Caenorhabditis elegans: one gene and its partner. The protein of the gene in region 1 purifies or fractionates together with the protein of each later gene. This does not show direct contact. Each region holds a gene or a part of one and is shown on either strand. Other genes may lie near its edges. The genes, in order: dpy-26 and dpy-21.

Region 1 (15,375 bases):
AATCTAGAGTTCGGAAAAATATATACATAAAGTATCGGTGGTTTAATAATATTTTATAATAATTTTCAAATTCGAATTAATAGTTTAAATGGCATATTAGACCCATTTAGAAAAATTTCAAGAAAAATCTCAAGTAGTACTTTTCAGCAAACCGCCAACAACTGGACGTTCACCGATGGCTCAAAACCTTGGTCCTCCTTCTTCACCCCATACGTTTTCCCGAATAACCACACGAGTTGCGTTGAAATTGTCGACAATTGGCTTGTCGAGCTATTTCAAAATACTGGTAAAACACAACCAACGTTCTGCTACCACTATCGTAAAGCCCTGTGCAAGTATTGTCCAGTACCACCTGAAATTCCATCTGAGCCAACAAGTACTACACTGGCACCTGTTGTGAGAGCCAAACGAGATTTGATGTAAACAAGCTCTGATGAAAATATCCATGACTAAAATAACTGTTCATATTCTATATCCTATTCATTTCTATTGACAGGACGCTTATATTATTTTATAATATCCTGTTTACCAGATCTCTCACTTTTTGAAAATTTTGTAATTTGAAACTTTTACATGTAAATGAAAAATTTGTATTTATGCTGTAGTTTTGTGTTCGCAAAAACAACCAAAGCCAATTTATTATTCCTATAGAAAATCAATTATTTTCAATCTTCCTATCCAATTGCTCTCTCATAAATCCGGCAATCTTCTCCTTGTGCTTTGACATCGACGGTACAACATGCCCCCCATCGTGAGCTATCCGCAACGGTTCAACGTCAAACATGTCTGCCATTTTCTCGCTTTTTGGTCTCGCCACGATCTCGTCCGCGTCACCGAATACGTGCATCGATGGGAATTCTTTGATTCGGAGTAATGTCAAGGAGTCATGTTTGGAAGAGAGACTCAGGAATCCGGAGAAGAAAATGGCAAATCGGATTCCGGGAAGTTTGATTTCACCGAGTTGTGCCTGAAAAAATAGAATAATCAAACGCCTGGGAGACGGAGATAAATAAAACCTTGGCAATGAGCAAGTGAACCATAGAAGCTCCTTGACTGAAACCCAGTAACCCATCGAATGGCCCATTTTCTTCAATAAACTTGACAACTGCGGCCACAGATTCTTCGAATCCAACAGCTACTTCCGTAGATTCCCGAGAGGAGAAGCTCATCGCTTCGTTGTTTGAAAACCACCACGCTCGACTGGAATCAACATCTGAAAATAAAAAAAATTACTTTATATTAGAATTGCCAAATTAGGAACATACGTTCATCTACCGCCACAGAATGAACTCCATTCACAAATTCAAACTCTGCTAGAGATTTGACGAGCTTCCGAGTGGATCCCGTCTTTTGCCGGAATGATTGATCGCATTGTCGATATCCGTGAAGGCAGAGGATCCGGAGTTTCGGTTGGGAAGACATTCTGAAAGATAATGCGGGTGGAATATTTCATAGAATGTGAATAAGTATTACCTAGACACAAATTTTTGCACCAAAAAAATGTAATACCCGGTCTCGAAACGGCAATTTTTATTGAAAGCAACCGAGTGTGCGCCTTTAAGAGTACTGTAATTTCAAACTTTCGTTTCTGTGGAGTTTTCATCAATTTTTAAAGGTTTCTTGCAATTTGTTAAAATTGAAATATTTTAAACGAAAAACTTTTAAGATTCTATGAAAACAGTAAAAAAAAGAGGGAAAATACATGTACTCTAAAATTGTCGTGTCGAGACCGGATACTGTATTTTTTGAGCAGTTTTCGCGTCTAGGTAATAAGTCAATATAAATTAATAGGTATTTCACAGGTATAAACCAGTTATGATGCAAGAGAAAACTTCAATTAAAATGAAAAAAGGTTCATTTAAAAAAATTTTAAAAAACTAAAAAACAAATTTTAAAAACAAATGATTACAACTAATTTTCTTCTTTTAAACTTTTTTCTTTATGCTAGTCAACCATCTAGGTACATTTCTATTGTTCGGGCTCTCTTCCTTCACATTTCCCAAAACTCGTGCACTTTTACTCAATAATCGATAATCCATTCCATAATCTGCTTCACGGAATAACTTGTCCATTTCCTGTTCCATCAACAATGCTTTATCCCCGATAAACTTCACTTCAGGACACGTAATTCCAATGGATTCCTCCACTCGTCGTCTTATCTGGTGTTTCGACTCTTCCAGAAAATCAACAATTTCCGAATCTCCATCACCTCGACACATCCAATAAACGGACACTTGTGTGAAAGCTCGATCAACTCGTACTCGAGTAATTTGAAGTTGTAATCGCCCGAGCATTTCATCTGTTGCGACGACTTCGGCGATTCGTTCCTCAAGGATTCTGCTCAGCTGAACAACTTTTTTGTCGTCTAAACGTCGTTGTTTTGTTCCGAGAGAGACGAGTAGAAGTCGATCTTCAAGTCCCATATCGATACCGTATCTCATGCCCATCGTTTTTTGGAAGTTTTTGCCCAATGTCTGAAATTTCTTGTTGTTGGGATGAGAAAACTGGTGGAGCCATGATCATTATTACCAGAGGTCTCGACACGAATTTCTGTAAAATATAAAAAGACATGCGTCTTTAAAGAGTACTGTAACTTTCTCGTTGCGAAAAAAAATACTTTTTTTTGATATCAAGAAGAAATCCAAAAATACAAAATATTTTGATAATTGTTGGAATGTTGAAGAAAAATATGTCATTTTCGATTTTTCGCCTCTAGAAAATTTCGAAAAAAATTGAATTCCGAAAAAGCAGCCTACATTTTAAAATCTTTTTCGTTATAGAAGAAAACTTAACGGTTTCTTGTAATTTTTCTCAAAAAAAAACACAAAATTTGATAAAAATGTTGACATTTTTTGTTAATTTAAATTGACAAAAAATTAATTTTCGATTTCTAATTTTTTTCCCGAAAAATCAAAAATGTTTTCAATTTATTTATCATTGATTTTCTAAAGTTTTTCTCTCATTTCGTTGAGCTCGCGGTTACGGTACCCTTTAAAGGCGCAGACCCTTTCGCATTTAGACAAAAATTGTCGTTTCGAGACCGGGTACTGTATTTTTTGCGCGAAAATCGCAAAATTTCGCGCCTGGGTAATAAACGAAAGTTGAATTTATATTTTTCAATCTAATTTCCAAAGAACCTTATCATATCTCCACTCGAATCTTGAAAGAACCGAATTTCCACATCCACGTCCCGTTTTTCGATTCACATAATTTCTGGGTCCCTTCAGAGCCGCCGTGCTAGTGGTAATCCATCGGATCCCGTTTCTATACATCTGAATTCGTAATTTTTATGGAATCAGTGAATGCTTTTTCGGAAGAATCAGAAAGGGTCTTTGTATCCCTAGAATTCTACAAGTTTTATGGCTCGAATATCATATTGAATATTCATTGTAAAGAGTGATTTGACAGAAAACTTAAAATTTTTGGTGTCGGGGTACTCAATTCAGAGAGAGAAAAATAAATAAAGAAACTTCGAGTTTCGAGAAATGAGAGATAAAATGAATAAATACATCGAATTGGGTGGATTCTGAGATTCAATTTTGATACCGAAAATAAATGATTTTTTATGGAGAAATTTAATAAAGTATGCTTATTCTTCCATTTCTTCTTCTTCTACGATTGCTCCGAGATCACTTGTTGTAGGTTGACCACCTGCTCCACGACCTTTACGAACTGGTACTGCCTTCGGACGTCGCATCAAATTCGAGAACACATTATTCGCATCGCTAGCCGTACCCTCGATGGCGTCCGGATCTTGAGTTCGTTTCCAGAACTCGTCTTGATCCTCGATTCTTCCCATTTTCAGACCACGTGGTAGGCTTTCACTTGAATTGAGAACAATGAAATCAGACATCCAGGATCGCTTTGATCGATCTTGAACAATTTGCAAGTTCTGAAAATTTAGAATGAGTTTGAAAAAATAAACTCAAAAAAACTAAACATACATTTTCATTGGCAATATGCAATAGGAAGCTGACGATAGACGAGGGCCTAACAGTCTCTCCCATTCTGGAAGGCATTGAAAGTGCCAACGAAAGAAGTGTATGGCATCCATTTATATGCACTTTTCTATTTTCAGTGTTAGCAGTTCCATATGTAGATGTAGTTGGTTGATTATTGGGACGCTCATCTGCTGCTTGATAATCTGGCATCTCTGTTAGTGCCTTCATCGTTTCGTTCACATCGTGATTCGATTTGTTCGGTGATCTATAGTCAAACACTGACGTCAACGTTTTGTCGGCCTCCATTGTCGGTGTTGCAGGTCTTCCGGTTTCATTACGATCATCGGCAGCTCGGATAGTTGTATTATTCATTCGTAGAGTCTGATTAGATGTCAACTGCTCCAGAACATATTGAATTGAAGGCATCGATAGACTATCAGTCTTCAGAATTTCAGCGAGACACTTCTTGTGCTTGGCGGCGTCAAGATTCTTTGCCTGGATCGACTGGCGATCGAATGACTGAAAATTATACAAACTTTTTTAATATAAATTTTTTGTTAAACTTACATCGTCAAATTCATCATCTGAATCTCCGTATTCACCACCGTATCGTTTGGAATGGATATTCGGGAACATTTGATTAATGTGACTTGCGGTCAAGGCTAGTTTCCTCTGAAAATGTTCAATGAGCACTGGAAAAAATATTCCGTCTTAATTTTACCTGCATATCCGGACCCATTTGTGCAGCAGCGAGTTGTTGTTCATAGTTTGGATCGTATCTGTCTTCGTCCTGTAATTAGATGCCGAATTATTTTGTAGTTTTCTCTCCGAAAATACGGTATCAAGGTCTCGAAAAGACGCATTTTTTGCAAAATTTTTGTTGATTTTTCAATAAATAAAATTTATTTATTAAAATCTGTAAATACACTAAAAAGGAATTGTTTTCTCGTGCTTTATTTCAATTTTTAATTAAAAAATCTGTTTTATAGAAAAATCACCGAAAACATCGCATCAACGATAGTCTAAAACTACAGTACTCTTTAAAGGCGCACACTCGGCTTCATTATAAAAAATTGTCGTGTCGAGACCGGGTACTGTATTTTTTGTTCTAAAGTCGCAACATTTCGCGTCTGAGCTATTTAACGGTATCGATCGTCGAAAACTTTTGGACTTTTGAACGAGCTTTTTTTAACTGGAAAAATCAACAACGAAAATTTTTCGATTCTCGATTATTCAGAAAACCGACAGGAAAACCGGCAGGTCTTAACAGAAACGTACGTAATAATCGTTGGCAAAATCGTCATCAAACGGTTGCTCTACGGCAGTTCGTAGATTCTCGTCCGAGTCAGAGCCAGTGATAGGCTCCGGATTTCTGAAAAATTAACAATTTTATATATATTTAATCCTAGACACTCACTCCATGCACCTGAATCCACTGAATGAAAGTAGCCAATTGAGACAATCCGAATCCTTGTTTCCTCTGGCTTCATCAATGAACAAATCTTGCTCAGCCTTTTGATTTTTGACACGTTCGAGTCGTATTTTCCCATATGATTTCTTGAAGAACATCCCGCTGTTACCGAGAAGACCCATTTCAAAAGCGACATGCGGCTTGTTTTCAATTCCCAAAGTTGGAAGATATAACTGTTGTTCCGAAAGGAAAGTGCTCTTCTCATCAGCAATTTTAGAGCATTTTGCAGCAGTAATTTCTCGTTCAATCTCGTCATCAGGAATGTCACGGAAGTAATGAACGAAATCTTCGACAGTGGCTTTTCTGCTCTTCGCTTTCTTTTCTCGCCGTTTCCGTTGTGCTGTAACCGCTGCTTGTCTCTCTTGATCACCAACGACTGGTGGAACCCAATGAGCATTGTCGTTCTTTCCGATATTTTGAATCTCTTCACGCATTTCTGCAGATGGTCCAACAAGTTGTGGCGGTGGTGCAGAAGTCATCAACTCTGCAACTTCATCGGCTGCAAGTGCAATGTCCTCAAGCTCCCGTTGAACATCTTGCTCATTTCGTTCTTCTACTTCAGTTCTGAAATTGAAAAAAAATGTGGATAGTCTTTTCAAAAATGTTGAATCTAGCGTTTTTCAAAGGTAAAATTATAAAAAAGCAAAGAGTATCCAATTAATATTGCCGGAAACTCAAAATGTCGAAAATAGGGGAAGCGCGGGAATTCAGAAAAGATTTAACTTTTTTTGCAAAATTGTTGAAGAAATCTCAAAATAGTTGTGGTTATTCATTACTCATGTGATGTAGAAAATTTTTTAAAAAATGTATTTTTATACATTTTCCCCCCTATTCGTCTAGTTTTTGTATTTTTTTGCATTTTTCGACACTCATGAATAGGTGAGAATGGATAAAAATAAATTTTTGCATTTATCTACATTAAATGAATAACGGTTTTTTTTGCTATATTGAAACGTTCTTCTGTCATTATAGGCAACAAAAAACCGAACAGAATCAACTTTCAATTCAAAATTGAAACTTACTCATCCATCTGCTCATTAAAAAGAATATCAGCCACCCTTCCATCATTTCTATTATTATCTCCTTCCATTTCCTCAACTTCAACCGGAGCTGCAAGTCGATCATCAAAGTCTACATCAAAAGCAGCACCGCCGGCATCGTAATCCATTTCCTCAATAGGCTCCATATCAACATCTTGTTGTTGCACTTGTTCCCGTATTTCTTGTTGAATTTGTTCTAACGGAACATCATCTTCAGCTGTACTATCCTCACCAGACCACATTTTCATCACATCAGACACTTCATCATTCACTGTGAAGTCTGCTGGACGATCTCCAGGATAGTTATTCATATAATCATCCGATTTCACCAAGAACAAATTCTTTCCAATTTCCGGAACCATATTTCTATACGATTCTTGCTCGTCAATCGCATTTTCATCCAATTGAGAACGAGCTTCTCGATTTACATTCATTTTTACAACATCATAGTTGGTCCATGCATCAGTTGCCTTAATCCAACCTTCGATTCCAGCCTGACGTGGATGTTTCGTGTCATTCTTCATAATTGCCTCATCATCTTCACCCCATTCTTCTGCACGTATTCCATTTTTCCAGACTTTTGATTCAAGTGTATCAGATGTGTTGAACACTTCCAGCTTCTTATCAAACATGTTGGCTAATGTTTGATCCATTTCATTCGGCTCAATTGGCAGTTTTCCAATGAGATGCTCATCGAGATCATTCTGGAAAATAATTTATATCATAAATGTATTCAGAGGCGCGCAAAAAAACTTACAGCTTCAAGAGGTGGAAGAACATATTCGTCACTCGCTTTCTGTGACACAGACGACTGAAGAGGAGGTGTAAGCCTATCTAGAGCGATCGTCTCATCGTTTTCTCCCTGGGCGAGTGGTAATCCTTGATTTCCTGGAAGCATTGACATATCCGATGCTCCTGCCACCGTCATATCCAGATTTGAAGGCCGATGATTCATCTCTGCGAATGTCAAGTTGGCGAGATCTTTCTCACGAGACGATTCCGCCAATGGTAGCGTTGACTTCTTCACATCCTTTGACATTATTTTGTATCTCCCAATAACTGGGCGATCTTTGACTTCGAGCATCAAGTAGTTGTCGAGAATTCGTGGCTTTTTGTCTAATGAATTGGTGAGGAGAGCTCGTGTATTTTTTACAAGTGAGACAGACACATCGGACGTGAAAAACCGATCATCAGCATTCTTATCGGCAATTCGATTATGCAACATAAGAGTTCGTCCATCGGGAGAATGAATTCCATAATAATTAAGAGAATGGAACGAGTTTGATGAATTGCACACGGATCCTTTCGTTGCCTTTTGAAATGTCGGGTTAGCTCTCAGCCAATCGATATTTGCGTCTTTCAGATCATGAGCCGTATCATCAGCACTTATGTAATTGGAAACATCAGAGAGAAGGTCAGCTCTGAGATCAGTTGCTCGTTTGATTGACAATGCATAAATGAGTTTTTCGGGGAAAATGTCTCTTTGAAGAAATGCGTCAACATCTTTGGAATTGGCTTTGAAATCAATTCGTGGCTCTCCGGCAATATTTTCCTCATCTTCTTTCCAATTCTTATCATTGTCTGCGTCAAGTTCGGTGGTTGTCAGAGCATCATCCATATTATTGAGAAAATCGAGCATTCCATTCATTCCGTCAACAACAGCCATTTTCTTTTTAGCTTTTCTGCTTTCCAGTGTTAAATGAATTTCTTCACCATTTGAATCTCGCATAACAGTTCCTGTAATAAAAAGAAACGATAAATTCCAAGAATATTAAAAAAAAAATGTAATTACCACTCGAGAGAGCTGAATCAATTTGTCGAACGTCGTGGTGAAGCCGATCGACTCGATAACCAATAATGCACTGAGCTCCTTCGAGCACAACTGCCATCTCTTGGATTGAAGCTTTTGCTTTGATCATATCTTCGATTGTATGAATTTCAAGCGGCGATTTATATTCGAAACAGTTGAGCTCTCCAACTTTTTTCTTATTCACAATATCGTCGATATGGGCGCCAATTTTTGTCATAATTGTTTCTGGCACCACATCCGCTGGCCTAATTTTTTTAGTTCCTCGAACTTTACGCAATGGGGTAGATCTGAAGCCATCATCTTCGTCATCATCTAGAACTTGTCTCTGAAAACATTACGTTTTTGGTAGAAGCAGAACATTCTTCTTTTTTTACTTTTCTGCGTCCAGTGACGTTGCTGGATGATGGTACATCCATTTCCCTGTAATTAAAACACAATTTTAGATAATAGAAAGCAGGAGAAAATAAAATATATTCAAACAAGAAGCACAATTCAATTCAAAAGTCCTCGTTGCTAAACAAAGGGTCGAAGGGAGACCGGAGTTTCGTAATGATGTTTAGTCGTCTGCGACTCTTGTCTCTCGTTGTCAACGCGGGAACGAGGCAGTTCGCACACTGAGAATCCAAAGAGAATGTAAAAAATTCACAAATTGATTGAAATTGTTATGAAGTAAATATATATTTAAAAAGAAAGTTTTTCTGATGCCTTCGACCGATCGATAAAGCTACAGTTCAATTAAAGGGACACATACAGAAAATATCTGTTCGTGGCGAGACCCTACAGTAATAAAAATATTCGCGAATGAAGATTTATGCTTTTGTGCGAATTTAATTCTCAATTGTTTACTTATGAGCGGAGTATTATCTCTCTCAAGAACAAAATCCGCTAGCAGATGATTAGCACAAATTCTATTCATCTGAAAACCGATTGTGCCCTTCTGAAAGCTTGTTGTTTGCTCAATGATATATTTTCGTCTCTATCTCTTTGTTGCCATGACACTTTGATGAGTATTCGTGTGAAACTCATTTTTTGGAATCAAGTCGACGCAATCAATAATGTTGTTGATGAAGGCGTCTTAATTCCAAAAGAATGAGGTTGAAAATTGAATATAAAAAAAATAAACATAAATTAAAAGATATTCCAGTATTACGTTGTGACGAGTAAGAGTTTGTAAAACATGAATAGAAATTTCAAATGAACACGATTTCATTATAAAGGCATGAAACATTCTAGAAGAACTACAAACAATTTTCACCGGTATGTTGAGGGGGGAAAGCTCACAAGTAAGCAGTGGGCTATTCCACTGGATCAGAATTTAATTATATTCTATAAAACATGAAGTTCTAAAATACATACGAAAAAATGCACACACTATTTGTGCGTTTGTGGATTAAATCCGTAATTGTTTAATTATTGAATATGACTAGGTCCTGGAAGACATTCAGATTCTGGATAATCGTCGTACTTGCAAACATCAATAAGTTCCTCAACCTTCTCTTCTGTAAATTCTCGAGCAGTGTGAAGACTCTCTTGACTTGAAGATGATGTTCTCGGCTGATATTTGACACTGTGCTCCTCGGCCAAAGTTGATTGAATATCGTTAAACATTTCGTCATGTTTCCGCTGTTGGTAAGCGTTTCGTTCAATCGATTGAACACGATGAACAACGACAGGTGGAATTCCGAGAGCGAATGCAGTACGAGTGAGCATGTTGGCAGTGGTGGGAGTGACAGGATTATCCATAACGGATTGTTTCAGATTGATTGCACTGACAATGATGTCGTCGCAGAAATGACCGATAACACCGGTTTGTTGCATTTGAGACCAGAAATTCATAGGATCTGAAATAAAAATAAATTAGTGATAAATGTTATGTCAAATAGCTTACCGTTCTGCAGACAATTGAGAATATCATTGAATGGCGTGCACTCATTGGATTCCTTATTTGAAGAAGTTGGCTCTTCATTAGATGACATTGATTGCAGTGGTGGCGCATCAATGAAGAACTCCTCGAAGAAACGATCGTCTTGTGGCTCCATTTTGACCATTTGTCTGGGCTTGTTGACACTTCCACGTGGACGTCCACGAGCTTTTTTGGCGCCTGAAAAATGATATGTTTCCAGAATACTGGTAGTTATACAAAAGGAGCTAGTTTTAGAATGTTCTAGCAATATAGAATAATGTTTCCTTTATCTGAAAAAACTTATATTTAAGTTGGAATAGTTGAAAAGATGCTCACAAATCTCAAACTTTGAGACAATATTTGAGCACTTTTCCGATTGTTCCAACTAAAATATAAGTTATTTTTAGACATAACAAATATTATTCCTAAATTTTAATGAAAAATATTGAGAGAACATGTCAAAACTAGATCCTTTTGTAGAATTATCGGTCGTACTCTTTCTATTATCATCATTATCCGCCTCTTTTCCAGCCATCTCATTTTCGATCTCATATTTAAGTTGTCCGGCTTCAGATGTTCTCTTGGACTTCCGAGCTTGAAGCACCTCTTCAGATGGAGCATTCACATAATTTCTGCTTTGACACTTTCCACTGCATCGATTCATATGCTCGTAGAAGTCGATGGTCATTGCTTCCATGTGAGTTCTAGAATATAAAGTTTTGAGAAACAGAAGTATTTTAAGGGATTATTGTCTTGATGCTCACCTCAACGAAGATCTTCCAACACGGATGCTCGCCTTCCAATCTTTCTGACGCTCTTTGTCGCCACGGATTGTGAACTGCTTCGGAGAAAGAAGATCGTCTGAAAATAATTATATTATGAGACCCATTTTAAATTATCTGAAATAAATAAAATAACGAACTTCCCACTTCAATACACGGCTGATGAATCCCAGGGCACATGAACAGGTTGAGATGCATCTTTCCATTCACGACACCACAGGAAACTGGCACAGTCGGTGACGCATCTCCTTCGGGAATTGTGATCTGCAGTGGTGTTATAGGGCGCGGAAAATCGTCGTTTGCCGGATGCTGTAAAAATATGAATTATTAAAGCGATGTAATTATGAAAAAGTAGCTGAAACTCACTCCATACAAAATTTGATAAACATTCCTTTGACTCTCTTGGAATGGAGTCATCGTGGAATGATGATGATCAGATCCTTCGGCTTGAAATCCATCACATGATCCAGAAATCGGATGAGACGGCAACACGGAAGCAGCGCTCACGTCTCCACCGAACATTTTGACGTTGCTTTGCAATCCGAATAAAACCGTGAGTCGGGCGGGCCGTTGCAAAGTTCGCCACGTTTCACGTTAACACGTAAAGATTTCCGCGTCATTCTTTTTTTCATCTTTTTGGTACCACTTCCGATAAGCTGAAATTTCTTATTATTTTCGTTGGCAGATAAATAATGAATTTTTTGTTTTAAGAATATTTATTCAAGAGAAATGGTTTCAAAACGGGAAGAATCCAACTTTTCAGAGAGTTTTCTTTAATTTTTTACAACAAAAACACAATTTTCACACTAAACAACAGTTATTTAAATTAAAAATCACAAGTTGAACACTTTAAACGCGAAAAATAGTGAAAAAGTTCATAAAAAAGCAAAAGTGTGAAAATAATTGCAGAACAGAATTTTCTACAGTAACCTTAAAGGCGCACATACGAAATCGCGCGGCGCGTGGCGACACCATTTTACGATATTGGTCCTCCCTTGAACCTTCTGAAATCAGAAAGTTTTACAGTAATTGTAACATCACAAGATAGGAAAAAATGAAGAAAATAAAAAATAAAAAAGTCAAGAATTTTAGGATTGCAATTCAAAGGTTTTTACCGATCTTTTTAAAAAATAATGAGAATTTTGTTACTAACTATGATCTTTCATTTGATAGTATTAGTCATTAAAAAAAAACACACAGATCACCTTAAGTTTAAGAATACAATGAAAAATTAAGCAAAAAAATTCGTTGAAAACATTTTTTAATGCTCGTAAAATTGCTCCAAGGTTGATTTTGCCTTTTACATTTAATGATTTCAAATTTTGTAGAGGTCAATGTTTTTATGAGAGACTCGTAGGGACGGATTTTTTTTATTTGAAAGTTCAGATAGTTGAAAATATTTTTTTATATTTTTTTTTGTTAGAAACAAAAAATAATATTTTTACTTTAAAATAGAGTTTTTTAGACGAAAAAGTGATTACGTGACATGACCTTTGGGCCTTGTTTTTTATGGCCTAATTAATTCAGCATAAAAGGTCCAGATTTCGTCAGTTTTGTTCATATTTCGTCCGAAATCTTGAATCAATCGTCTTTTGAATCGCCAAAGCAGCCAAGAAGCAAAGGAGCAGAAGCATGGGTTCCGAGAAGATGATCGAGATCTGTATCGATATGGAAGAAGGAGAACCACTTGGTGCAACTCCGAATGACAAGCTTGTCATCACTAAAATCCAGGCTGGAACTATTTCCGAAGGAAAGTTGAGAGTAAGTTCTACAAAAGTTTAACCATTATTCTATGAAAAGTTTTATAGATTGGTGACCAAGTCAAAAAAGTCAACGGGCAAAACTGCAAAGATTGCAATGACTTTTTCCGTGCACTTCGCTTTGCAGCTCCATGTGCAAAAATTATGGTGAACCGCGATGAGAAGAAGGCCGAAGAGTTGGAGGCTCGTGTTCATATTCCTGAAGATCGTGCAAAGATCATTCAACGCCGTGAAGGATACGTCTATGAGTTGGCAACTCTTGTTTGGGTTCAAAATGGACCAAAACTTGGTTTGGGAATCAAGCATTTCCAGGTAAGAAATCAATCAAATCAAATAAATTCTAGGAAATTCATATATCTATTTCAGAATCGTGTGCTTGTCTCCCGTGTTGATCCTGGATCACTCGCCGAAAAGTGTCTCGTTCTTGGAGATCACTTGTGTGATGTTGATGGTATTCCAGTCAGTGACAAGGATGTTGCCAGAGACCTTCTCGTCAAGAACATTCAAGAAAAGGGAAAAGTCACTTTCGTCGTCGAGCGTCCCGATTCGATTGATGCCAAGCAATGGGCAAAGCAGGCATTGGCAACCAATCTTATGCAGCCACCATCTGTGCAAATGAACGAGGATGTGAAGGGCATTGCGTCTCAATACCGTCAAGCTCTTCCAGGATTGAAGCCTCCAGCAAAGAGTGCTATGTCTACTGGTCCAAGCGCTCGTCGCGTTTCAATTGTCGAGCAAACTCAAACACATGAAATCGGGCATGATCATGAGGGAAAAGCTCTTCGCAAGGTCAAGTGATGTGCCAGCAAGATGCCAGAAATCGCAACGTCTAGCTCGAATAAAAATTTTGTTTGAATCGCTTCTGCTGATTTATTTTGTTTTATATGTTCGAATACAGATAGTTTTTTGGGTATGTGAAACGCCCACAAAATGGCTCCTTTTAGGCAGGAGTGGTCAAAATACTACCGTATTGCAGACGATTTTTGTTTGAAAGTTGTTTGAATTTCTGAAAAAGGCAGAATGTGGTTACAGCAAGTCTCTATTAATATCAGCTCGTTTACTCCACGTGTTCCTCGTTTACCAAAAGCCCTGACCATGTTTTAGTGGCCCAGAAGAAAGTCTAGTTCTGGCTTACCGTAGCCTTAACAAGAGTTGAAAAGCCATAACTTTTGATGGCATAGGAAGTACCCACAACACTGAGCCTCTCGCAAACAACTTGCTTTGCTCCACCTTCAACGCTTTCATTTTGAGAAGCTTTTGATTGCAAAATAAATGGTAATAAATTGTTTTTTTTTGACATTTTTTTGTTGAAAAAACAATTTATATTAACTTCTTGAACCCATAATAAAATCAGCAATGTTAAAGGCCTTCCTATGCCTAGTTTCTGCATTTCTGCGCCAAATTTGGTGTCTGTGTCTTGACAGATAAATACATGGTGCATCGTGCAAAGATTCACCTACTGGCAGGTAACATGCCATTGCAACTAATCTAAATTATCTTATTAACAAACTTTCATTCAACTTTTGAATAAAAAAACGTGATGATCTCACGTTTTCAAAAAACATTCTAGTGCTTATCGTGATTTTCTCGATTATTCCTAGCTATTTACAATATTTCTTCCAACTTTCGTGCCTCAAATCATGAGCAAACCTGGTTAGTTTTGAACGCTTTTTAATGAAATTTTTGAAACTTTTTTTCAGAAAGTGTTCAAGAATCCCTTGATACAATCACATTTATTCACTCTTTTCAAATTACGACCACCAAGGTTGAGCATATGAAGCCGAAACGTTTTACCACGGTCCATCAGTACTCGCTGATTAATTGGTAGGTGATCTCACAGTTCTAGGGGATAGAGAAAAGGGGAGATGGAGATATGTGGGAACTGAAATTTAGTTTCACTCCCCCAGTCTCCCCAAGTGCCTACCTCATGTCTAACGTCTATTCACTTTGTCAGCAAAGAAGCAGTAAAAATTCATTTCGATTCCAGGGATATCGAAATATCGGTATCCCAAATACTTCAAGAACATCCCCAAAACCCTGAAGAACCGGTCGTCGAGAAGGTTTTTCGAATCAGTCTTTATCCAGCCGGACAACATCCTCTTCCTGTGCAGAAAGTGGAGTTCAAGTTAAGATTGGTTGACAATTCTGATGGAGATAATAGTGCGCTTTTGAAATAGTTTCCCAATTGCTTTTACAGACATCCTGCCACCTGTAAAATTCACCTATGAGCCTGACATCACGGACCGTGACGATTTCGACTGCATTACACCGGAACGTGGCGTGATTCGAGACTTTTTGTGCGAGGTGATCGGAAATCGGCAATTCAAGAAATACAAATTGGAAATTCTCACTGTTATCGTATTTGATATCAACAACTTTTTGAGCCTGAAATACTTCAATCGATTTGTTGGAAAACCGATGCCAGTCGAATTGGATTTCAAATATTATCTGTTGATGAATCAGTGAGTATTTTTGTAAGATTTCATATGAAGCCTAAGTCAATCGCATTCCAGAAAGACTCACAACTTCCTTCTCACCACCACTACTCAACAAGGATTCCCGTGCAATAAAGAAGCTCTATACGTGGCTTCTCCATATTTTCGCAACCATCTCACAAGTTCCATAACCAGTTTTCCACTGGAGGTACAATTCTTGGAAGCTATTGAAG
Region 2 (15,375 bases), on another chromosome or scaffold:
GTGTCAGGGAGATGAATAATGGGTGGGAACATGAAAGTAGTGGACATAAAAGTATTAAACATGCATAGGACAGGACATGAGAGAGTGCCAAAATAAGATTCATTGCGCTAATTTTTTATTTACCTTTTTTTTGGGATGAAAAAATTCGCGCAAAAAATTTTCCCGTGGTGGAGAGTTGAACTCGTTTTAAACAAAACAAAAAAACCCCTCCTGTTTTTTTCCAGAAAGTTCGTCACACATTTGTGGGCACTCCGTGTTGGATGGCACCAGAAGTAATGGAACAAGTACAAGGATATGATTTTAAAGCTGACATTTGGTCACTTGGAATTCTTGCGATTGAACTTGCCACCGGAACAGCTCCCTATCATAAATATCCACCAATGAAAGTCCTTATGCTAACACTTCAAAATGATCCACCAACACTTGAGACTAATGCTGAGAGAAAAGATCAATATAAGGCTTATGGAAAATCGTTTAAGACACTGATTCGCGATTGTTTGCAGGTAAATTTGTGTGTTCGGCAATTGAAGAGAAAAAGTGGTTAAAATTATGTGTTTTACACAAGTTTATATAACATATAACATAATCCTTATTGCCGGAAATGTTTTCATTTTCGGAAATTTTAAATTCCGGCAAAATTTCCAAATTGCCTGGAAAAAAGGCAAACGCCGAAAGTTTTCGGCAAAATCGGCAAACCGGCAATTTTTTTTAATTTTCGGCAATTTGGCGATTCGCCGGAAATTTACAATTCCGGCAATTTGCCGATTTGCCGGATATTTTCAATTCCGGCAAGTTGGTGATTTGCCGGAAATTTACAATTCCGGCAATTTGCCGATTTGCCGGATATTTTCAATTCCGGCAAGTTGGTGATTTGCCGGAAATTTACAATTCCGGCAATTTGCCGATTTGCCGGATATTTTCAATTCCGGCAAGTTGGCGATTTGCCGGAAATTTACAATTCCGGCAATTTTCCGATTTGCCGGAAATTTTCATTTTCGGTGATTTTCCGGGCAATTTTCAATTCCGGCAATTTGGCGATTTACCGGAAATTTACAATTCCGGCAAGTTGCCGATTTGCCGGATATTTTCAATTCCGGCAAGTTGGCGATTTGCCGGATATTTTCAATTCCGGCAAGTTGGCGATTTGCCGGATATTTTCAATTCCGGCAATTTGGCGATTTACCGGAAATTTACAATTCCGGCAAGTTGCCGATTTGCCGGATATTTTCAATTCCGGCAAGTTGGCGATTTGCCGGAAATTTACAATTCCGGCAAGTTAGCGATTTGCCGGAAATTTTCATTTTCGGTGATTTTCCGGGCAATTTTCAATTCCGGCAAATTGCCGGTTTTCAGAATTTTTGGCAATTTTATCCAATTACGGGAATAGAGGATTTCCGGCAAATCGACAATTTAGAGAATTTGCCAGAAATTTTCATTTTCGGCAAACCGGCAAATTGCCGAAAAGTTTAGGATGCGTGCAATTTTGTCGATTAAAATTGAAATTACCAACAAAAAAAAGGTGCAAAACTACAATTTGCCGGAAATTTAAAATTCCGGCAAGTTGACGATTTGCCGGAAATTTAAAAACGGCAATATGCCTACTTTGGCTGAAATTTTCAATTCGGGCATTTTGCCGCTTTGCCGAATTTGCCGGAAATTCTCAATTCCGACAATTGCCTCTTTTCCGGCAAATTGGACAGATGGGCAAATTGCCGGTTTTCAGAATTTTCGGCAATATCACCAATTTGCCGATTTGACGAATTTGCCGGAAACTCGAAAACGGCAGTTTGCCGTAAATTTTCAAGTCGGGCATTTTGCCAGTTTTCAGAATTTTCGGCAATATCACCAATTTGCCGATTTGACGAATTTGCCGGAAACTCGAAAACGGCAATTTGCCGTAAATTTTCAAGTCGGGCATTTTGCCAGTTTTCAGAATTTTCGGCAATATCACCAATTTGCCGATTTGACGAATTTGCCGGAAACTCGAAAACTGCAATTTGCCAGATATTTGCCAGACTTTCGGCAATATCACCAATTTGCCGATTTGACGAATTTGCCGGAAACTCGAAAAACGGCAATTTGCCGGAAATTTTCAAGTCGGGCATTTTGCCGGTTTGCCCCGGTTTGCCACCGATTCTATCAATTCTAATTTCAGAAAGACCCAGCAAAGCGTCCAACAGCCTCCGAACTCTTGAAATATTCGTTCTTCAAAAAAGGAAAAGACAAGAAATATCTGGTACATACTCTCATTGAGAATCTCGCTTCAGTTCCAGTAGTCGCCCATCACTCGTCGAAAAAAGTGGCTTCTGGAAAGTTGCGTAAAGATGCTCACGGAAATTGGGAATTTGAATACGACTCACCACAAGAAAGTGATGATGATAGTGATTTGGAGGATGAGGAACGTGAAAAGAAGAAGAAGAAGGCTAGTGCTTCAGCATCAGGAGCTGGAGCAGCTGGAGCTGCTGGAGGAGCCACTGGAGGAGCAGCAAGTGGTGCTCCAAGTGCTCAGGAAGGTGGAGGAGCCACCACTCCGTGTCCAGAGACGTTGAATATGGTGCTCAGAGTTCGGAATCAACAGCGAGAGCTCAATGATATCAAGTTTGACTATACAAAGTCGGCTGATACTGGTACGGAATATTTTACTAAAAGTAAAATATACTGTGAAGCCAGAGAGTAAAATATACTGTGAAGCCAGAGAAGCCAGAGGGAAATTTGACAGAAAACTGAGTTTTGGAACGACGATTTTTGTGGAAAAATTCTGTTTTTTGAGAATTTTTAACGACTTTTTCAATAATGTTTTTTTAAAATTTTGCAATTTTTTTCCAATTTTTTAGCGATTTTTGCTGAAAGTTGAGGTTTTTCAGTAATTATTTCAGAAAATTTAGATTTTTTGCGAATTTTTAGGTGTTTTGTGTTGAGAAATCTAATTTTTCACATTTTTCGAACATAGGTTTTTGCTCCGACAATAATGGAATCATGTGTTCTGAAAAATAGAAATTTATTCAATTATTGAACTGAAAATTACATTTTTTTCAAATTTTACCGACTTTTTGAAGTAATTTTTATTTTATTTTTTTGAACATTTTTAATGGGTTTTGTCTTATTTTGAAATAAAACCATTAAACTAAAATAATAACAGAAAACACAGCTTTTTCGAATTATTTTCGAGTTTTTTGAGTATTTCTCGAGATCCAAATTTCATACTCAAATGTTTTGTATGTTTAAAAATAGTTTGCACATGGTTACATCATTTTTGTATAAAAAATCAAGAATTTTCGACAAAAATTTTTTTTGAAGATTTTTTGACGACCAACCAAAAAAAAATTTTTTGGACGGATTTTTTTCCAAACTTTTGTCGTTTTCTAATAATGTATTCTAAACAAAGCAAAATCCTCACACAAACCTCAATTCAAAGGTTAAAAAAAGCGAGATCTGAAAAATGTCTGAAAAATTGGCTCTGAGTTAGGGCACTTCGGACGGTCAAAAAATTTTGTGACTATTGTCAAATGAAAGATCATCGTTGATAACATAAATTCCCACAGTTTCATAAAAATCGATACGCAACGAACAAAGTTATGATTTTTGACTCGGAACTTATTTGGAGACCTAATAGTTTGTAGTTCAGTAGACCCAAATAGTCTATAAGTATTTAAATACATTTTGCAATATTAGTTGAATAACCCCTTATTAGATGGTAATTTATCGATTTCTCGTTTCTTTTTCAGTTGAAGGAATTGCTCACGAACTAGTGACCGCTGAACTCATCGACTGTCACGATTTGGTAATTGTCGCTGCCAACCTTCAGAAGCTTATCGATTTTGCTGAATCAAAGTCTGATAGACGGTCGATAACGTTTGCATTGAATTCTGGAGTACACGCTAATGAGGTAAATTTTTTAATTTAAAAAAATTAGATCTTTTTTTTTTGGATTTTTTGTGATAAATTTGAAAATTTTCTGTGAAATTTTTCTGAAAAAATTGAACATTTTAAGATATTTTCCAAAAATTAGGCTTTTTGAATTTTTTTTCTCAAAAAAAAATTTAAAAAATTGAAGAATAAGTTTGTTTGAAATTTGTTAATTTATTCCAAAAAGATATTGAATTTTTTGAAATAAAAAATTGAATTTTTGACGAATTTTTTTTGAAAAATCGATATTTTTTTGAATTTTCTGGGAAAAAAGTTATTTTTTTTGATTTTTTTTTCGAAAAGTGTGAATTTTTGCCGAATTTCTAAAAAAAAGCAATATTTGCTAATTTTTTGACGTTTTTTTATTTCAAAAAATTTTTTTTTTCAATTTTTTCCACTTTTTTCCCTCCAAAAAGTTGAAATTTTGGCCAAATATCTGAACAGTTTCAGAAAAAAAATTTTTTATTGAAATTTTTACGGAAAAATCGAAATTTTCGTCGAATATTTTCAAATTTTTCGAGAAATTTTTTTTTTATTACAATTTTTTTATGATTTTTCCCGAAAAAAATTAAATTAAATTAAATAATTTATTTTTCAAAAATTTGAAATATTTTCCAAAAAAAAAAAGATTTTCTTTTTTATAAATTTTATATTTTATAAATTTTTTTTTATTTTATAAATTTTTTTCCAGATCCCCGACGAGCGGACATTGACCGGATTCGCCCAAATTTCGCTGCTCGACTAAACGATTTTTTTCTTTTCTTTTTTTGAATTTTCCGCCGAGCTCCCCCCCCCCCCCCCGCCTTATTTTTAAAAATTTTTTTGTGTTTTTTTTTCTGTTGTAAAATATAGATAACTCTGAATTTTTATTGATTTTACATTTGCTCCGCCTTCCACACCGCCCCCGCAAACACACACAAAAAAAGTGATTTTCGATTTTTTCTGAGAAAAAGTTTTCTTGTAAAAAATTTCCCCCCCCCCCCTCCCCCGCCTTTTTTTTCGCTTGATTTATTGATTTTTAGATGACAAATACCAAAACTGTTCCCCCCCCCCCCAATTTTTCGCTTTTTTCCAAAAATTTATGAGAATTTTATTTTCTTTTTCTTTTCTTTATAAAATGGATTTTTAATAATTTTTAGCGATTTTTTTTTCGTTTTTTAACTGATTTTTTGAGTTTTCTATTTGGATTTCTCGAAGGTTTTATTTTGATTTTTTTGTAAATTTTAGGACTAAAATTTCAATTTTTTATGAAAATTTTATGATTTTTCCCAAAAATTTATTTTAAGAAAATTTGAAATTCGAAAAATTTTTTTCTAAAAAATTGAAAAATTTGTGTTTTACGTAAAAAATTTTTTTTTTGGTTTTTTCGCTGAAAATTTTGGAAATTGTATGGTTTTTCCCGAGTTTTTCAAAAATTTGAAATTTCAGTTTTTTTTCTGAAAAATTGAAACTTTTAAGATATTTTAATAAAAAACTCACTTTTTTAAAATTTTTCCGAAAAAATTTGAATTTTGTAAAAGATTTTTCCCAAAAAAATTAATTCAAGAAAATTTGAAATTCGACATTTTTTTCTAAAAAATTTAAATTTTAAAGGTTTTCCCGAAAAAAATTAAATTTAATGAATAATCTTTTACAAATTACTTTTTTTGGATTTTTTTGTGAAAATTTTAAAATTTTAATGGTATTTTACACAAAAATTTGACTTTTTTGTGTTTTTTTCTGGAAAAAAATTCGAATTTATTCGAAAAAACTTTTTTTCCATATTTATTTGGTTTATTACAATTTTTTTCGGAAAAAATTGACTTTTTTTGGATTTTTTCTGATAAAGCTGAAAATATTTTCCGAAAAAATTCAATTTAATAATTTATTTTTGAAAATTTTAGGTTGCTTCACTAAAAAAATTGACTTTTTTGAATTTTTTCTAAAAAATTGAAAATTGTATAGATATTCATCTTTTTTAAAAGAAATTTGAAGCATTATAATTCTGTCTGAGAATTTACAAAAAAATTGGCTTTTTTAGAATTTTTTTGTGAAAAAAAATTTGGCTAAGCTTCTCCAGTTGTGCTCGGCGAGCAAGTCCTTCCAATTTCTTCCAATAACTCTTCTGCGGCCCATTTTTTAAGGCTAAAAATTGCCCGAAAATCTGCTGCGAGCTCCGTGAGCCGACAGCTGCTCCGTGATAACTCTGCCCCCTGAAAAGTCGCTGAAAATCCTCCGTCAGAACTCCAACTTCCGCAATCTGTATACTATCCCAAAAATGAGCACGGAGCCTCTTGTGAGCTCCATGAGCACCCGCACTCTTCCTCTCTTACTTCTGACAACCCATCTGCTGTGTCCTCAACCTGCGTGGGGCTCCGTGAGCACGTCTTCTTATTATCACCGGCTCTCTTCTAACCCCACACATGTCCTCTCTAACAGTGATTGCAGGGCTCTGTGAGCCCAGCGCTCCGCGCTAGTCTTGAGTTGAGCTTTAAGCTCACCGGCTCTCAGGCTAGCCGGCTACCAGGGCATAGATCCTGAGCTGCTTCGAGTACTCGGCTCAATACTCGAGCCTATTGAGATAGGTCTCCGTGAGCTTCTCTACACTTGGCTAGAACTAGCTCTCTGATAAGCCTGAGTAAATATCCACCGGGCTCCTGGCTTCTTGTGGTCTTCTGAAAAGGCTCCCTGAGTTGCCAGAAAGTCAGGCTCCGTGAGCAACCTTTTTCTGTTTCTCTCACGCCCAGTACGTCCTCATTCTGACAACAAAAGGATGTTGGAGCGGGCTCCGCGAGCTGCTCTTATCAAGCGGCGTCGACGGCTCCTCTGCCCTTAGCAACGAGAAATGACAACTGGGGCTCAGTGCACACACACACCACCTCCTCACGTTTCGTCGTTGTTTCAGAAGTTTGGGCATAGAAAGCAAGGGCTGGAGCATTCAAGCTCTCCGGCTTTACAGTTAACCAAAGTTTGAAGCTTCTTTGGTTGACCTTAAAATCTGACGTCACAGATTTTTATTTACAGTGCATTTGTTTTTCCACTTCTACGAGTTTAAACGGAGATTTATACAGTTGCGGTGTACAATTTGCGTAGATCACAAATAATCTATGAAAAAACAACAGAAATACGAAATAAGTGATAAATATACAGTGATCTACGCTCATTTTACACCGAAACTGTATAAATGCGCCTCCCTTTAAACTCGTTGAAGTGGGGACAACAAATGCAATGTAGTGCATTTGCTATTGAAAATAATGACGTCATAGCATCAAAACCACGTGGCGATCTACTTTCCAGAGGTCAATGGGACAAGCTGACATTACCCGTGGAAGAGCTGAAGCCCTTCGCGAAAGTTCTTCCATCTCCTCTGTTCTCTCTGCTTCTTTTCCTTCTCTATCTCTCCCCGCCGCCGCCTCACGGCCCGTGATGTTTGGTGCAAGTGCGCTTTCCCCTTTCGCCTCGACCCTCTCGTCCTCTCTCCCGGCCAGCCAGCCGGAGCGACGCGGTCGCGTCGCGTGTCCTTCTTGTTTCTCACGCATACACACACACACACACACACACTCTCTATGTCTCTCGATACTCTCTGCACGGCGATGTGCTGACGAAGGCCCCCTTTTTTCTTCTTCTTCGCGTTTACCGCCGGGGGTGGTTTTTTATTTGGATTTTGAATTTTTTTTGTGCACCATCGCTATCGATAGTGATAACGATTATATCGTGATCGTTTTTTTGTGGTTTAGTTGAATATATAGTTTAGAAAGAGCAAACAATTTGATTAGAAAGTTCTAAGGTTAATTCATTTCAATTTATTTCGAAAGCCGATTTTATTTGAAATGGGTAGAAATTAATGTTTTTTAAGCGGAGATTTAGTTTTAAATCATATAAATTATGGGGTTTAGTTTATTTCAAGTAATGTTACAAACTGTATTAAAATACATGCTTTTATGTATTTTAATACAGTTGTGACGTAATTACTTGAATAACCCCATTAGTTTTTAGTTTATCGTTAATGTTTTATTATAGAAGCTGATTTAAATGTAATACTTCCTTACTAGTTACTTTTAATCATTGAATGAGTAAAATTACTTTATTTACTAATTTAAATAGTTACTAACAAATCGTGATAAGTATCTTTGCTAATAAGTTTAATTTATAAAAAATAAGAATTTGAAAGCCTCGTCTTGTTCAAAAAATAATTCCGCTGTCACTATTCATTATCACGTTAATATTTACGATATATAGACTTTTCTATATTTTTCAGATTTTCTTGAAGAAAATTTGCAAAGTTTGCGAAATATTTTAAATTCTCGTTAGTAACTTAATTAAACGATTTTTTTTTTCATTTATCGACTCAGATTAACCGAAATTATAGTTTGGGAAGAATTTCGAATGTAACTATTATTTTTGAGCTTAGAATTAAGAAATTATTATAATTAACACTAGTATAGAAAAAAATTAAGCTTCTTCACTTTTGACGTAGTAAAAATATAATTACACCACCTTTTTAAAGTTGGTGCGTTAATAATGAGTACGTTTAATAATTTAATTTAAATTCTTCGTTATTATCAAAAATATATAAACTGACATGTGAAACGTGGCTTATTTTTTTTGCTTTGTTTTTTATTTGAGCTCCTCCCATTTTTTTAAAATGAACTAATAAATTAAAATTTCAACGAAAGGAAAAATAAAAAATAAGCCACGTTTCACATGTCAGTTTATATATTTTGATAATAGAGTACAATTAAATTAAATCAATAATAATTATTATTATAGAGGACTTTTAAATATATTGAAATATAATTTCCTAGCATATTTCGAAAAAGTGTCATATTTCTCTCCGAATGCTCGTATTGTTTATAGAACACAAATTCTCGTAAACCTTTTTTTTTTGTTGCGATTTCCGCATTCCGTCCTTATTACTTCTGATTAGACTATAACTAAATTAACAATAGAATATAGAAATCCGAATATAGCTATTATTTATGAACTTACCTTGTTTAATTTCACCTTTGACGTATTATTAATAAGTTATTAAAATAATTTGCGTTCATAAATAATGTTTTTAACTCAATAAGTTAAGATTTTCATGAATAAAACAAGTGCTCCATTATAGCTTATGGGATTATTCGAGTAGTGTCGCGGAAAATTGAAAAAGTGTAGAAAAATGACATCACAGCTGCTTAATTAAAATACATAAAAACATGTATTTTAATAATTTTTTTACAACATTACTTGAATAACCCCATTAGTTAAATTACGAAAATCAGAAATCCTTTTAATCAAAAGTTATAACGAGCATGATTTAATTAACTCTATAGTTATTAATTCAGTTTATTAAATTGCCCTTTATAGTGTTTAAGAACTATGTTTTAAATTGAGAAATCGATTTTTTTTTTGGGAAAATTTAATTTATTCGTGTTTAACTCCGAATTCGTCATAGCCATAGGCTTAATTAAAATGGAATGTATCTCGAATCTATTTTAATTCTGATTCTCCTGAATATTCCTGCAAGCAATAGCTTTTTGGCCGGAAATTTTAATACGTTAAAGTTGTGCTACCAGCGTTTTCTTTCAATTTATATGGATTTTCATCGAAATTGTGCCAAATTTGTCTATTTTTCACCGAAAAATCCCTATTTTTTCTCAAATTTTCCTAGATTTTCCGCATTTCTTCTCCGATTTACTCTAAAAAATTTTCCAAATTTCAGACCCAAATTTGCGCCAACACAGAAAAAAAACAAAACCGAACAACAATTTTGCACTTTGAACGACAATTTTGAAGGAAGAATGATTGCACATTAAGAAGAAGAACATCAAAAAAAAAAAATCTCCAAACAAAATTGTCTGAAAGTGATATAAAATATGAGAAGCACCACTTTTGATAAGGTTTGTTTCGAAGGAAAAAAAATCCCAAAAAATTATCGATTTTTGCAGAACTCTGGTGCTCCTGAAGAGCCGAGACGTCCGCGTGGACCGAGAACACCTGTAAGTAGCTCGAAAAAATTTTTTTTGACCACTTCCGGGGGTCGAACCCCGGAGGTGTGGGTTCCAGTCGGGCCCCTAACCGACTGAGCAACTTGCACACCCAAAAAAAAATTTCGAAAAAAAAACTGAAATCGATTTGAAATTTTGCGTAGATTTCGAATGTGTCATCAAATTTTAGTTTGGAAAATGCTGAAAACCTCTCATTATCGAAATTTATCAGTTTTGGAGTCAAAAAAGTCTAAAAAACTTGATTGTCTAATCAAATACCCAATTTATTTTGTGATGAAACACGGAAAACACTCTACAAAAAATAATGACCACAGCTGGGGGTCGAACCCCAAACATTTGGGTGCCAGCCGGGCCACTAACCGACTGAGCCACTTTTGCACCAAAAAAAATTGTTTTTTTCAACAAAAAAAAAAGAATTCGATCTGAATTTTTCCGTAGGTTTCGAATTTGAAACCAAATTTTAGTTTTTATAAGGCCGAAAACCTCTAATTCTCGTAATTTCTCAGTTTTAGAGCAAAAAATGCCTAAAAATCGACGACTTTTGGACTTGAAAGAACATAGTTTCACCGGAAATCTCGATAGAAATACGAAGTTTTGATGTAGAAATGCCAAAAAAACTCTACAAAAATTATGAGCCACAGTGGGGGTCGAACCCCGGACGTGTGGGTGCCAGTCGGGCCCCTAACCGACTGAGCCACTTGTGCACCCAAAAAAAAATTTTTTTTTGTTGAAAAATTACCATTCGAACTGAAATTTGACGATAAATTCGAAAATTTTGTTAATTTTTGTATTTGAGAACACAGTGAAAACCCAATTTTCGACATAAAACCGCAAAAAAAAATCGATTTTTACAGGACGGAGAACCCACAGAAGCCAACGAAAGGCCGTGCTCGTCGAGCTCATCACTGAGCAATGATTCGTTTGTTCCAGCACCACAAGGACCTCAGAAGTAGGCGATTTTTTTTTGGTTTTTCGGCTGAAAATTGGCCTAAATTTTTGAAGCTGAAATTTGACCTATTTTCTGACATTTTTCTTTAGAAAATTCCAATTTTCACCCAAAAATAGCTGAAAATCTCTGGAAATTATTATTTTGAAAAAAAATTCCCCAATTTTCAGCGGACACACGAGCAGCAGCCATGACAATGATTATAGTGAATACCGCCCACGCCGTGGGCCTAAAACTCCGCCTCTTCCACCGCCGGATGAGCCTGTAAAACAGCAGCAACAGCAGCAGCCAATTGTTGCTCCATATTCCTATTATCCAACGTGAGCATTTTCTTTTTTAAAATTTCGAAAAAAAATTTTTTTTTGGTAAAAGTTTTTTTTTTGACGAAAAAACTTAAATTTTTTTTTCGTATTTTCACTGAAAATTTGAATTTTAGGCGAAAACTTGAAAAAAGTTCAAAATTATTTTTTTTGCTTTGGGGAGCAAGTGGCTCAGTCGGTTAGCGGTCCGACTGGCACCCACCCGTCCGGGGTTCGACCCCCGACAGTGGTCATTAATTTTTGTAGAGTCTTTTTTGGTGTTTCTAATGCTTTTTAAGCTCTTTTACGCAGTTTTTATACTTTTTTTCTAAAAAAATTCCAAAATTTCACTTAAATTTTGAATTTTCAAAAATTCAAAAATTCCAACAAAAAAAAATTTTTTTTCAAAAATTATTTTCCTGAAAGTATTTTAAGCACCACTCTTCCGCAATTTTCACAAATTTTTCCATAAAAAATTTGAAATTTCACGTAAATTTTGAATTTTAAGCCAATATTTTTTGGGGGTCTTCAAATTTAGAGCTCTAAAATTCCCAATGTTTTCAGATACGGCAGCTCTACAGGATATCCGTATCCGTATCCGACGATGATGATGCCACAACAAGGAATTCCTGGTAATTATTGATTTTTGCAGTACTTTAACGATTTTGGAGCATGAAAACTAGGCGTTTTTTGGTTTTTTCGGCCTGAAATTGAGCCTCTAAAACTGAGGATTTTGACACAATTCATCTAAAAATTTGAAATTTTCAGAATTTTTCTAGTTAAAACTATTGAAATTGAGCTTAAGCCCGAAAATCTAGTTGAAAAATTGACATTTTTCTCATGTTTAAGCTAAAAAACCACCGAAAATCTCAATTTTTGTCATAAATCAGTTGGAAAAATTCGCATTTCTGCGATTTTTCCCAACTTTAAAGCCCTTTACAGTCATAAAAATTGGATTATTCGACCAAAAAATTTCGAAAAATCGAAAATTTCCAGCTAACGAGCCTGAAAATCCTTAGAAAAATCCGATTTCTTCAGGCTTTTCAAGCCTAAACCTAAAGCCTAAAAAGAACCTTCAAGCCTAAAAAAAAGAGAAGCTTCCAATTTTCAGGCCCTTCCCAACATCCGGCGACACCATCCTACTACATCCAACATCCACCACCACCATCAATGTCCAACGGCGCCCCATACTATCCACACATGAATCCATCGCCGTACTATCAACCTCGTCCGAACTATGTCACTCAACCACCTGCACCCATCATTCCACCACCACAACCACCAGTGATGACTGCCTCGGCGGCTGCGGCTGCCTACCGCGATCGCCTACCTCCACCGCCTCCGAAGCCTCCGATGCCTGATCTAAGGACCAAAGAGCCAATCGGAATCCGTAGCTGGAATGGATCAGGCATCCCACCTCCGCCGATCCTTCCACCAGTTGCTTGTCTATCGTCGACGATGTCACCCGGGATGCTGAGATCCCCAGTGCCGAGAGAACGATTCAATAGTGTGGAGAGTAATGGATCTTTTAGCCTTCATCCACCACCACCAGTGCCACCACCCGCGAAGAAGCCACTGAACATGGATGTTCGGGAGTTGCTCAACGGAGCTCATCAGACAACTGTGGAGAGTGTGAAGAAGGATCCACCAGCACCACAACCACGACCTCGTCCGATTCCGGTTCCACCGACGACATCGTACAACTCATCGTTCTGCGGACTTCTTCCACCTCCACCAGTGCCACCAGATCTTAGAGCATCAGCAGCATCAGCAGCAGCATCGCCACCGATGGTTCAGGATGCATCGTTCTCGTCGGTTCTGACGCCGAAGACGAAGGCTCCAGAGAAAATCCCAAGCCCCCCGGCAACAGTGACGTCATCCACGGACTCACTGGAGCATATGCAGAGGAAGAGAAAGAAGCAACAGGAGACTGAGGAACAGGAGAAGGCGGCGAAGAAGGCGAAAAGGCATCAGGAGGAGCGGGAGAGGCAGAAGATTGAGGCGGAGAAGAGGAAGAAGGCGATACTCGAGGAGGCGGCGAAGGTGACGAGGCCTCCTGCCGAGAAGAAGCCGCCAGTCGTCGTGGAAGAGACCATCAGAGCTGTGCCGTTTGTGTTCAAGCAGGAGATGCCTCTGCCATTTGTGCTGGCTGCTGCTGCTGCTGCGGCGAAGGAACCTGAAACAAGGCCTGAGCCAAGGCCCGAGCCCAAGCAGAATGGATATCATGTCAAGCAAGCCGAACCTCTGCAGGCCGAACCGCCGCAGAATGGCTATAGGCTAGCTGCTGCACAAGCTCTTCAGCACGAGCCGAGACAGGCTTCAGAGCCTCTGCAGAACGTTCAGCCAGAGCCGTCAAAGCAGGCTTCAGAGCTTGTACAGAATGGTTATGCTGCTCCGCAAGAGCCACGGCGTGCTACTCCACCGCCAGAACCTCTGCGGAACGAGCTTCCAAAGCATTCAGATCTTCTGAATGTTTCGAAGCCCAGCGAGCCAGCTGAGCCGCCGAAGCCTTCGGATGCCCCCAGGGAACCTGAGGTGGCAGCTGCTGAAGCAGTGATACCTGAACCTTCACCGGCAGTTTCTGTGGAAGAACCACCCCGCCGGGAGGAACGTGCCGCATCCATGGCAGGCATTCCACCACCACCTCCAACATCATCCCGCCACAGCCCTGTACCCCGCCGAGAGGATCGAGCAGAATTCATGGCACGATCCACACCACCAGCGCCAGGAAAAGACAGAAAATCGCTGGGCGGTCGGATGGCGATGTGGCGAAACAAGAAGAATAAGACGGCGAGCATGGTGGGGCCTCCGGAGCCCAAGGAACTGCCAGCTGTGGTGGAAGTAGAAGCCATAGTGGAACCTGTAGTGGAAGATCAGCCAGAGCCAGTGGTGTCGGAGGAGCTGAAACCAACGGAGCCAGAACCAGTGGAGCCAGAACCTATGGAAGTAGAGCCTGTTGTAGCAAAAGAAGTAGTAGAAGAAGTAGTAGAAGAAGTAGTGGAGACCCAGGAACCCTGGGTTCCACTGTCGGAATGTTCTCGATCATCGTCATTGGAGCTTCTAGCGGAGTTGCCGCCACCACCTCGAGCTTCAGAACCACCACCACCACCACCACCTCCAGTAGCAACAGCACCAGTACCAGCATCAATGGAAGAGGATGAGATTATTGATATTGAGACGATTGATGAGATTACGAGCACTTCCACAAAGAAGCCGGAAAAGGTGGAAAAGATCAAGAAAGCTCCAGTAGTCACGAAGGCCGCCCTCAAAATGGTCGGACGCCCCAAAAAGACGCCGGGACGTCGTCGCAAGAAGGATCGCGGCGCCTCGCCGAGCCCATCCCCATCCCCACCACCACCGCCAGAGACAACACTGACTCCGATTGTCCTGCCGAGAAAGAAGCAGCGCATCGAGAAGAAGAAACTTACACCACCACCACCGCAGCAGGCGCCGGTCACCTCGCATACCCCACCGCCTGTGGAGCAGTTGATGTCGAGGAAGAAGCAGATTATGATGGAGCACAGCTCGCTGGATCATATTCAGTTTAAGCTCATCGAGATTGAGTTGGCGGCGAAGCGGCGCAAGGCGGAGGCAGCGGCGAAGGCCGCCGCCGCAGTCGAGCAGAAGGATGAGAAGGCGGAGGAGGTGGAGAATCGTGAGACACCTCCTGGGCCATCGACTTCTATGCGAAGTTCTTCGCTTCATACACCGAATACGTCGGAGGAGGATGAGGTGATCTTTGTGGAGCCATCGACACTTGAGAAGCCTGAAAGAAGGAATGGAACAACTGAAGAACGAGTAATGACTGCTGATCAGCGTGCGATGTTTGATGCGAAGATCGAGGAGGCACGAAGATCCCGAATGAGCACCAGGGATTGTTCGGTAGTATCCACTCTAGGACCTGTGAAGAGTAAAGCGAGTCAGCGACTTCATGACATTATTGAAGGAAAGGAAGAGCTCGAGGATAGTATGGATGATCCGACGAATAACAATGGAACACTTGCCGGAATCCTTTACCCGATGAGATCGGAACGCGCGGAGTCGGTATCGTCGAATCATAGATCCGAAGGTGCAGGAGGATCGATGAGTCTGAAGCATCATCTGGCACGGAAGAATGAGCTGAAGGAAGAGGCGAATGTGGCGAGACGTTCCGAGATTCTGAAGGCAGTTGTGAAGCGACAACGAGAGATTGGAGTGCCGACGACACTGATGTCGAAGAGTGCGATCGAGTTGGTTGAGGAGGATGAGAAGGAGC

What was found.
Region 2: the proteins of dpy-26 (region 1) and dpy-21 purify together in Caenorhabditis elegans (affinity purification with western blotting, with the first as the bait; one study listed by BioGRID). This does not show direct contact.

Annotation. Positions count from the first base shown.
Region 1 is NC_003282.8:12,442,613-12,457,987, forward strand, and holds dpy-26 (Condensin complex subunit dpy-26), read right to left. Parts: upstream 8,724-15,375; 5' UTR 8,679-8,723; coding exon 8,637-8,678; intron 8,588-8,636; coding exon 8,245-8,587; intron 8,190-8,244; coding exon 7,210-8,189; intron 7,157-7,209; coding exon 6,435-7,156; intron 5,977-6,434; coding exon 5,359-5,976; intron 5,314-5,358; coding exon 5,220-5,313; intron 4,732-5,219; coding exon 4,663-4,731; intron 4,614-4,662; coding exon 4,509-4,613; intron 4,461-4,508; coding exon 3,945-4,460; intron 3,893-3,944; coding exon 3,590-3,892; 3' UTR 3,273-3,589; downstream 1-3,272. Other genes in the region: C25G4.17 (C-type lectin domain-containing protein), read left to right, coding at 148-423; Esterase C25G4.2, read right to left, coding at 656-967, 1,017-1,213, 1,266-1,422; C25G4.3 (Ribosome-binding factor A), read right to left, coding at 1,926-2,474, 3,138-3,272; Transcription regulator spe-44, read right to left, coding at 9,673-10,103, 10,151-10,363, 10,661-10,869, 10,930-11,026, 11,088-11,256, 11,314-11,469; smz-1 (PDZ domain-containing protein), read left to right, coding at 12,580-12,708, 12,756-13,019, 13,074-13,505; C25G4.7 (uncharacterized protein), read left to right, coding at 14,348-14,360, 14,408-14,535. UniProt on the Caenorhabditis elegans protein: Required for both chromosome condensation and segregation and for X-chromosome dosage compensation depending on its binding partners.
Region 2 is NC_003283.11:17,943,397-17,958,771, reverse strand, and holds the start of dpy-21 (Lysine-specific demethylase 9), read left to right. Parts: upstream 1-9,578; 5' UTR 9,579-9,743; coding exon 9,744-9,767; intron 9,768-9,815; coding exon 9,816-9,866; intron 9,867-10,729; coding exon 10,730-10,824; intron 10,825-10,991; coding exon 10,992-11,141; intron 11,142-11,684; coding exon 11,685-11,752; intron 11,753-12,231; coding exon 12,232-15,375. Other genes in the region: gck-3 (Germinal center kinase 3), read left to right, coding at 225-503, 2,156-2,627, 3,726-3,886, 4,598-4,651; Y59A8B.24 (uncharacterized protein), read right to left, coding at 6,623-6,823. UniProt on the Caenorhabditis elegans protein: Histone demethylase that specifically demethylates dimethylated 'Lys-20' of histone H4 (H4K20me2), thereby modulating the chromosome architecture. Promotes chromatin compaction by converting H4k20me2 to H4K20me1 leading to transcriptional repression.